2 linked regions of the Drosophila melanogaster genome follow. The protein of the gene in region 1 interacts with the protein of each later gene in a pairwise test. Each region holds a gene or a part of one and is shown on either strand. Other genes may lie near its edges.

Region 1 (4,829 bases):
AAGCACCAATGCCTCCGCTGGCTAATCCCTGGACAGCGACCACCAGCTGGCCATCGCCGAAACCGCCAGCCGAACTAATCGTGTCGGTGGATTGAGGCGTGGCTGCAGTGGCTCCTGTGGCTGGGCCACCGATGATTCCATCGCCACCTGCTGCTTGCTGTGCTTGCGACTTGCTGGTGTTGCGCAAACTGTGGTTTACTTTTCGCCACATGCGCTCCATCTTGAAAAATCCGCTTGATTCCTTGCGGCGATTCGATAATGTTTTCTTGATGAGGGGTATATTGTTGAAAGTGATTGTTGCATACGAGTATATTTGTTAGCTTATTACAGTTTCCATTACTCTTTTCGCTTTACCCCAATAAATAGTTTTTTTTTATATATTTATTTAATTTTTGGTTAATTAAAGATATATGAGAATTTTTTCAGTTAATGCCAAATGCGTTCCAGCTGCTTAATTTCCTTTGTTGGTTCATTGTTGAGTATTGGTGTGCGTCCTTGTTGTGATTTGTGGTTGAATATCTCTTGCTGCTCAATACAGATTCCGTTAGTATTTTGGTATTTTTAAATACTTTAATTGTTGTAAATATGTGATTTAATGTGAAATGATTAGCAAATATTTTGGTTTTTTACCAGTTTGTTTAGTAATGCTTTAAATGTATGGAAGCCGTAGATCTAAGATACTTTCATTTGCATAATCCACAACATTTATTTAAATGTAAGCCTTTTCGATAATAAGAAGTGTTTTTGCTAAAACGTTACGTTAGTTTAAATTTTGTGCGAGTTTAGTCGGTGTTTACCATTACTATGTATTAATCCTAAAGATTTAAAGTTTTTGATATTGGCAAGCACTTTTTTTATTATTGATTAATTTATATAGTTTATTTCAATTACCACATGTTTTTGAAGAGTTTTAGCCATTGCTAGGAAGTTTTTGGTATTTATTTTCAAAACAGCTAGTTGTTAACCTTTTCGTTGTTAAAGTTCTTTCTATTTAATAGTTATGTTTGATATAAGATATTGATTTCATTTAAAGTTGTTGTGGAACAATTTGAATTTCCTTTATTGGTTTTTGTAAACTTATTTTGTTAGTTGGTGTAAATTATCGTTGTTGAATCTTCTTGGCAGTTGTTGATAGTCGTTCATTCCCCTGTTGATGTAGATAGTTGTTTTTACCTATGGGTTGATTTCATGTGGAGTTCTTCTTAGTTGTTGTTTTATTTGTTGTTCCTTTTATGTTGTTTCCAACCATATTTATCAGTTTCTGCGGGTATCCATTTTCCTATTGGGAAATTTCAGCTAGCTACGAGGGTTGGGACATTTTCTAGTTTCTTGTTTGCCACACTCCTTTCGTGTTCTGCTTTTTCTTCCGGTCTTTCTCCTCTTCGGTGCGGCTGTTTTTGCTGTTATTGTTGTTAGCTTATTGTTTTTAGGTGGCAGTGATTAGTTGTTGTTGCGGTTGCTGTTGTTATTGCTTGATTGACTTTCATCTTGGTTTACCTTGGATCTCGTTCAAATACACAAAGGGACACTCATTCGATTATACAGAAAAGCTACTCAGCAGGAACTATGCATTGTTGTTGTTGTTGTCATTTCGATTGTTGTTGTCTGCGAAAAGCGGAAGCGGAAAGTAGAGAGCATGAATTTGAGTCTAGGACTCGACACGTATGTGCCCTGCAGTTCCAATATTCATCGCTACTCAATCAAAACCACCACAAAATCGCACTTCGATTGTTTTGTGGGAAATCTTGTGCTTTTTTCTAGATGCTTTTGTGATACTTTGACAAAGTAATGAATTCTTAGGACATGTGAATGCTAAAATCATCACTAGTTATCGTACAAACTGAGCGGTGATTGAGCGCTTGTGATGAATGCTAGGTGGTGATTCATCGCTAAAAACGTAATGAATGAAAATACAGGGTACATATAGGTACGTTTGTATGTGTATGCTTAGCGTGCTTGAGTTCCTGATTGTGTGTAATTGTGTGGGTGAGTGGCCTGCACTTTTAGGTTAAGCACGCGCTTCACTCATTTTTCCTTTTTTTTTTTTGTTTTGTTGTGTTTGTTATTTGTTTTATTTGCTGCCTAAGCCGCTCTATTTTTGCCCCTATTTGTTGCTGTTGTTGCTTTCTACATTGCACTTGTGAATGAATGACGAATTTTTTTGCCACTGCCTCTCCACTCACTCTCCACAGCGCTCTCGCTCTCTTCTGTCTCTTGCTTGCTCCGAAGAGTTACGGTTACGGTTTTTCTTTTATCTCGTTATCAGCACACTTTTTGCACTTCTTTTAATAGCAATTCTGCTTCTTTCATTTTCACCATCTAATTTTTGCACACAATTTGTGTAATTTTGCGTGGAAAATACACTTATTAAACGCTGCGCATTCCACAACTACAACGCAGTTGTTGTCTCGTTGTCAGGTTGTTGCTGTAGTTGTTGTTGTTGCTGTTGCCGTTAGCGCCTGGCTGGCTGCTGGCACGTTGAGTCAACATCATTTCAGTTCACCCAAAAAAGACAAAAAAAACAGGGACACTGTCTCTCTGCACAGTGGGTTACTTTGGCTTGTCAAGTTTATTCCAAAACAAACAAAATTTGTAAAAAACATAAAATAGATTGTATTTATATTACCTAAAATATATTAATTTTTTAAAAAAATGTAACACTATAATAAAATTTTCTCAAATTGTTGGAGATGTGAAACAAAAATAACACCCACTGTGCAAGTCAGAGAGAAAGGTTCAAGAGAGAGAGCTAGAGAGTGCGCTCTTGCCGCTTAGGATGTGCATATGGTCGTGCGTGGGCGCAAGCCATGTTACGGTATCCAATCCCGTTTCCGTATACGTGTGAGTTGGTTTTTTTTTTTTATGGCTGTATTCAAAGTTGTGTCCTGTGTATAACACAAACACATTGCGCTGCAGAGGAATATGCTCGTACAGATAGAGAGAGACTGCGAGTGAGAGCGAGAGGAAGCTGCCTGCTTAACCGTTTTGACACCTTTTGTTGCCTATATTTTGGGGCCAGCACACACACACATACTCCCACACAGGAATTTTGAATACCGGTTAAAATTTGGGAAAAGACACACTGCCGAATCGGCCAACGGTTAACGATAAACAATCAATCGGAATCCACAGGAATCCACATTTTTGTATCACACGAGAGCTGAGCAGAAGCCGCTGCCCGTTTATTGGCAACGCGCACGCACAAATAACGGAGCCACTGTGGCAAAATCAGCGGCTGTGAAAGCAGCCTCAGCAGCTGAGAGCCGAGGACACGAGGACTCACACCCGAAGTCGAAACGATTGCTCAACCGCTTTGGTATCAGGTCGGTAAAATGTAAACATTGGGAGTATCGCTTGCCGGGCCAGAAAGCGACAGCGTAGAGCCGTAGATAGAGAGCACTCTTGCAGGACGATTGCGCAGCAAAGCGACATCTGCCAAGACTTTTTCGCAACTAAAACGATAAAATTCTCAAAAACACGACCAACGGAGGGCGCTTCGGTGGTAAATGCATAGAAAATTGAGAATGAATTTACCAAAACGATAAGCCAAGAGCTTTCTTTGTGGGCAAATCGCAAAGAACACCACCAATAGCGGGCGCTGTGGTATTTTCCACTTAGAAACTTATATTAACATTCATATATTCCCGAAACACGTGTCGTATGAGTAACATTGCAAATGAAACACAGGTCGTATGTGCGATATTTACTAATAATATCACTCATACGCCGTGTTGTTATGCGTTGCATGTTTTGCTTATAACATAATAATAATCTATTAAAAGCAAGAATTTGCGATATTTTTCTCAGGACGACCAACCTTTCCTTCAATATCAAATTATAAAAATGTCTTGGATCGCAACAATCATCCGATAAGTAGGCAATACTTTTTGGTAGGTTGGATTCTTCCGCCCAGCAAATAAAACATTCACGACTTTTTCGATTTTGTATAGTATTTTTAATTGTTTTGCCCGTCATCAAAGTCCCCAATCAATTAATCAATTATCAATTAATCATTGCCAGCATCCGCTATCGATTAGGTATTCGTTTTCGTGTCTGCTGCATCCGGTGTTTCCTCTTAGTTGTACCACTTGTGTGTCTATCTTTAGTCGTTAAGTGTATATGTAGTATAAAGTTGATACTCATGCTAAATCGAATCGACTTGGTTTGCTTCGTTCAAAAAATGTTATAGGCTATGCAATACAATTACGTGATCGTTAGTTGACTTTAACATTTAGTTGACTGACATCAAACACACAAATATAGTTTATATTTCTTTTAGTTTGATTTTTTTTTTTTAGGTTTTTTAATATGTATGTACTCGTACTTATATAGGGTTGATGCATTATGCGATATCTAATCCGTATTATATTTAGATAGCACTACTGTTTTACACACACACGCACAAGGTTTACAAACGTTAGTTATTATTTAGTTTAGTTTTGTTGTAAAGAAAATTTCGATTAGTTTTCTTCTTAGACTTAGATTGCTAAAACGTTGGTATTGGCCTATTGTATGATTTCTTTATAAATTGTTTTTCATTTTTTTCCATTTTTCTTTTATTTGTTTTTTTTTTTCTTTAATTGGGAATCTCATTTTTTTTTTAATTGAGATCGTTTTCTGGTTTGCCAAAGTGCTAAGCCTGTTCAAGTTTTCTTAGCTTTTTGCTTTTCATGCATTTTCCATTTTCGTATTTCCGATTTCCAGGATCTCATGCTCATCTTGTTGTTCTTCATGCTAGGCTATATCACAAAATGTGTTTTCTTTATCTTTTTGTTTTTTTTTGTTCCAACTGCTCTTCCGCTCGAAGAGAAATCAAAAAAATGTATAAA
Region 2 (4,798 bases), 5.9 Mb from region 1:
GTCACGCTGGAGGCCAATAGCAAGACCTCAACCCGTAGACAATTTGTCTTTACTTCTGCTCTTGCCCCGTTGTTGCAGTTATTTTTTCTCTTTTCCTACTTGGCCGCTTTGTTGTTGTTTTGGTTTTGGTTTGCTTTTTTTTTTTTGTGTGTCTTGTTGTTTTTTGCTGCTGCTTTACGGATTCGTATCGCCAACGAGATCGCCTTGCCCCCTTTGGGGGGTCTCCTGCTGCGTGGATCTCCTCTCGTTTCTTCCCAGTGATGTGTGTGTGTGGATTTTCTTCGGGGAACATAGCCGAGAATTTATGCCCAGTGCAACATTAGTTGCATAGAAATGTGTTGTCGGCGCACAAATTAAATAAAGTAAGTTAGTGTTGGGCAATGTCGTTATGGTTTAGTAATACTGTATAGAGTGACCTTAAATGGCAGTAAATAAGGATATTTAAAAAAAAAAAAACTTTAAAACTTTATATGGCACATTTTGTGGAGCATTTTTCATCGATTTTAGCTTGAGACTAACTATTTTTATAAGTAATCCACCAACTTGGTAACTGGTCACGTGTTTTTGTACGCTTAGTGCCGATTAGCCACTACCCCAACCACTATAGCCACACACAGCGATCCCAGCAGCAGCAGCGACAGGCACAGCCACAGCCTCACCTGCACCAGCACCTGCACACACATGCCCCCCCCCCCCCAATCCTCGAGTGCATCCATGGATCCATAGACAACTCCACCCCGAGGCGAGTGCTCGAGCTCGATATGGTGATGGATATGCGTGCAGCATAATCATGAAGTCGCTTTGATCTTCTGTCTGCGCTGTCTCGAAATAAATGAAATGACTCAGACAGGGGAGCATAAATTTTGCACTGGTGGAAAGTGTGGAGGGGCTGGGTAACTGGGGAGCTGCCGGAAATGTCATAAGCATAAATATAATTTTTTGATAATTGTGTGTGTCGCGAAGCGTTAATGGAACTTTAATTGAAACTCCGGACTGATTGGGATCTTAAACCAAAACAAATCTCTTTGAATGGCCAGCAATTCTAAAGGCGATGCAATGCAATTTGATGTCTTCATCGTTTCAACAACGAGCGTAATTACGACTTGATGGCCACATTAAATGAAGGGTGGTCTGAAAACCGGGTCGCGGAGGGGTGTTCCGTACTGTTGGCCAATTAGCCAAAGGAGATCGTTAGCTGTCCGACGATCATTAGCCTTAACGAGCTGTACAGCCAATTGCTTGCCAATTTATCTAGTTAATTATACGGATTTTCTATAGTTAGAACTCCTCGCATATGCATGCATGTGTACTTTATATTATTTATTCATTTTTTGTTTTTTAGTTTTATGATTTTTATTTAGAGAGATGGTAAAACCCTCCTCTGAATTCCGCATTGAGCAACTTTGTTGCGGCGTTTTTGGTTTTTTTTTTTTTGGATTTTGTTTTGCTTTCGTCGTCGGCTAATTGAATTTGATAAAAAAGCCAGCGAATGCTTTTAATTGACCAAACATTCAGACACTCACACTCGCCAATTATACGGCAGATAACCCACCCAATGTGGGTCTTTCGATTGAGTAAGAGCGCTCTGAACTTCCGCCAGCGGAGTACAAACCCGTATCCGTATCTCAGTCCGGAACTGGAACAGTCTGCACTCGGGAAATTAAGCATATTGAAGACCATAAAAAGTCCACTTAAATTATTAATCTTCCAGATTAATACGGACTCAAACCTCAGTTCATGCCCCTTAATAAGAAATTACATTTTATAACATTACATTTTATTAAGAACAATAACAAACACATATGGGAATTTTTTATTTCATTAAATTTAAATGTATTTAAATTTACCAACACTAAGAGGAGGACACACTGAAAATTAACCAACACCAAAGCTTAGAGTTGTCAACTTTTTTCATAACACGTGGCATTTCGCTGTGTTCGTAAGGAGATTTTTTTATTGCCTTGGCAAAAATTGGAAGTGAACAAACGCAAATAAGTGCTGCAGAAAATGTGTGAGAAAGCTAAGAAACTGGTGATTGGAAACTGGAAAGACAACGAAACCGATGCAGAAAAGGTTCAGAAAAAGCCGTTCCTTAAGGGTACGAAGTCTTCGATTTGGGGCTCCAGCGCTTCGGACATAAGCGGTCAGTCCAGATCTTTAAAATCCTCAAGCTCTGTCTTGTCCTCCAAATTCGTTACGAAAAGGCTTTTCACAATACAACACGGAATTGAGGGACAGAAACCAAATTTCAAAATCAGGAGCGAGAGTTTCAGTGGTCCGCATTCTGCTGGCGGATTTTCCAAGTCTACGCGCGAATCCCGGTCGAAAAGCAGGAGCATGGGTAATGGCAAGTTTAGAGGAAAATCCCATTTGCGGTCCAGTTCTGAGTCTGCTCATTCTTCCGGATCCGAATCGAGTTCATCCGATTCCAATTCCGGCTCGTCATCCGATTCGGATTCCACTACGGGATCAAGTTCTCACGGTAGCGATACGGGAGAGAGGCCACGCATGCGAAGCGCTGTTTTTCGCATTCATGAAACTTGGCAATCGCCAAATTCTTTCAAGGCCGTGAAAACCTCTCGTGAAAATAAAGAATCAAGAAGCAGGAGCAGCAGTCTACCGCAAAAGCGCTTTTGTCCTTCGAAGACCCAAAATGATCTGACGTACGGGAGTCCAGAACCCAAAAGTCCGTCCAATCGCGGCCGCAATTCGTGGAGGGTCGGAATGCGCACTCCCTGGAAGAAGAGTCAATCGAGGAGCATGAGTTGCAGCTCCATTCAAAAGATTTTGGTTAGCCGCTCCTTCACCAGAAGCCGCAGTCCCCATCGGAATACTTTGTGTTATCAGGACCAATCCAAAAACCCAAGCCGCCCTAGTAATTACAATACCTGGAAGCAGCCGATGGATGAGGTGTATAATAATGCCGCTAATTATCGGAAACGCCACAATATCACCTTGACCAGCTGGAATATGCGAAACCTTCCGGAGCCTGTGCTGAGTTTCGAGCGCAGCGGATTCAATGCAACCATATTACAGCAACTGGAGGATCAAGGCTATGATGGGCCCACGCCCATTCAGGCACAAACATGGTCGATTGCCAAGGAGGGCAAAAATATTGTGATGATTTCTGGAAAGGGTACGGGTAAAACATTGGGCTATCTATTGCCGGGCATAATGAAGATGCACAATCAGCGCGGATTAATGCAGCACAAGAAAGGACCGATTGTCTTGATATTGGTGGACTGCCGTGAGGCTGCTGTCATGGTCCAAAGAGAGGTATTGTACTATACAAATCCTCTCGAGCTTAGGACGCATTGCCTCTTGGGCAACAGTCAATGGCAAGGTCATGCCGAATGCGATCTGCTGGTGGCCTCTGCTGGTCGCCTGCTTCAAATGATTGATAACAAAAAACATGTTGTAGAACTGGAACGCTGCACATATTTGGTTCTGGACAATATTGATCGCATGATTGATGTGGGCTTAGAGGGTAACATTTGCCGACTACTATGCCGTCTACGTCCGCATGCCCAATTGATCGTCAGCAGCACGTCGTGGTCATCTAATCTGAAACGGATGGCCAACAAGTTTTTGGGCCAATACACCGCAATTCGCGTGGGTGAAATAAACAATATAGGCGTGCGATTACAAAACATCCGCCAGCGGGTGGAGGTAGTCAATGGGCTATCGAAAGTAGAACGCCTTATGAAGGAGCTGACTGCTATTTACGATACAAGCGATATTCCCGGTAAGGTGGTGATCTATGTGAAGCGCCAAAAGGTCGTGGAAGAACTGGTGGATTTGATCCGGAATTGTGTACCCTGCGAGGGCATCCATGGTGGACGCACTGCCCAAGAAAATCAAGGAATAATCCATGATTTTGGCACTGGCGCCTACAATATCATTGTGGCCACGCAAATGACATCGAACTGCTTGGATGTGCCAGGCATTCGTTATGTGATCAATTATGATTTCCCGGACAACATTGATAAGTATGTTCAACGCATGAGCAGAACGGGATGCCTGTCGTATAACCGTAACTGCGAGGTCATCAGCTTCTTTACCATGGCAAACTACAAGCTCGTGACGGAAGTGGTCGATTTTCTTAAGATCTGTAAACAAGAAATTGGACCGCATCTTCTTCAGCTCGCTGAAGAAAAGATGTTTGGTCCCCGTCAACGAAGGCGCCATCGTCCGCAACGCTACAATCGCATGCATTAGGGTCGATATAGCGGATATATATGTTATTGGCAAACATTTTGATGGCTTAACTAACTTAAATTGTTAATGTATAATGGATTTAACCCTTTAAATGTTTATTGATTTAACTAGGCCAGTTGAAATGGTTTTTTTTTTTTTGGGAGGGGGGGGGGGACTAAAAAATGGGGTAATGACGAATGGGAGGCATGGATGGCACGTCCGCAAAGAAAGTTGTGCATCCAGAGCTCAGAAGACGTGATGTTATGCAAGTGAAGTGCAGCTAAGTAAAATGCATGGCAGGCGCATCAATATTCAAATACGGTTTCAGTTCATACTAAATCCCTTATGATATTTACATGTGCCATTTATGTATTTATGCGTACCTTAAAGTTTTAAGAACCGTCATAGGATATTCAAACTTAATACGTTTTCTATCGTTATAAATTGTGAAAATCCGCCTAGATCTCGATCCATATCGAATCATTTGGGCTTCTGTCACCAATTCGCTGGTTCGCCTACCGTTCAAATTCTGACATATATGGGTCAATATTTTCTATACAGCCAGTCAGCCAGCAAACCCCCCTACTTTTTGGCCCATTGA

What was found.
Region 2: the proteins of hwt (region 1) and CG14443 interact in a two-hybrid assay, tested with the Drosophila melanogaster proteins (one large-scale study listed by BioGRID).

The regions. Positions count from the first base shown.
Region 1 is NC_004354.4:12,565,232-12,570,060, forward strand, and holds the start of hwt (heavyweight), read right to left. Parts: upstream 3,222-4,829; 5' UTR 3,058-3,221; intron 1,606-3,057; 5' UTR 221-1,605; coding exon 1-220.
Region 2 is NC_004354.4:6,631,952-6,636,749, forward strand, and holds CG14443 (uncharacterized protein), read left to right. Parts: upstream 1-2,007; coding exon 2,008-4,218; downstream 4,219-4,798. UniProt on the Drosophila melanogaster protein: Probable ATP-binding RNA helicase.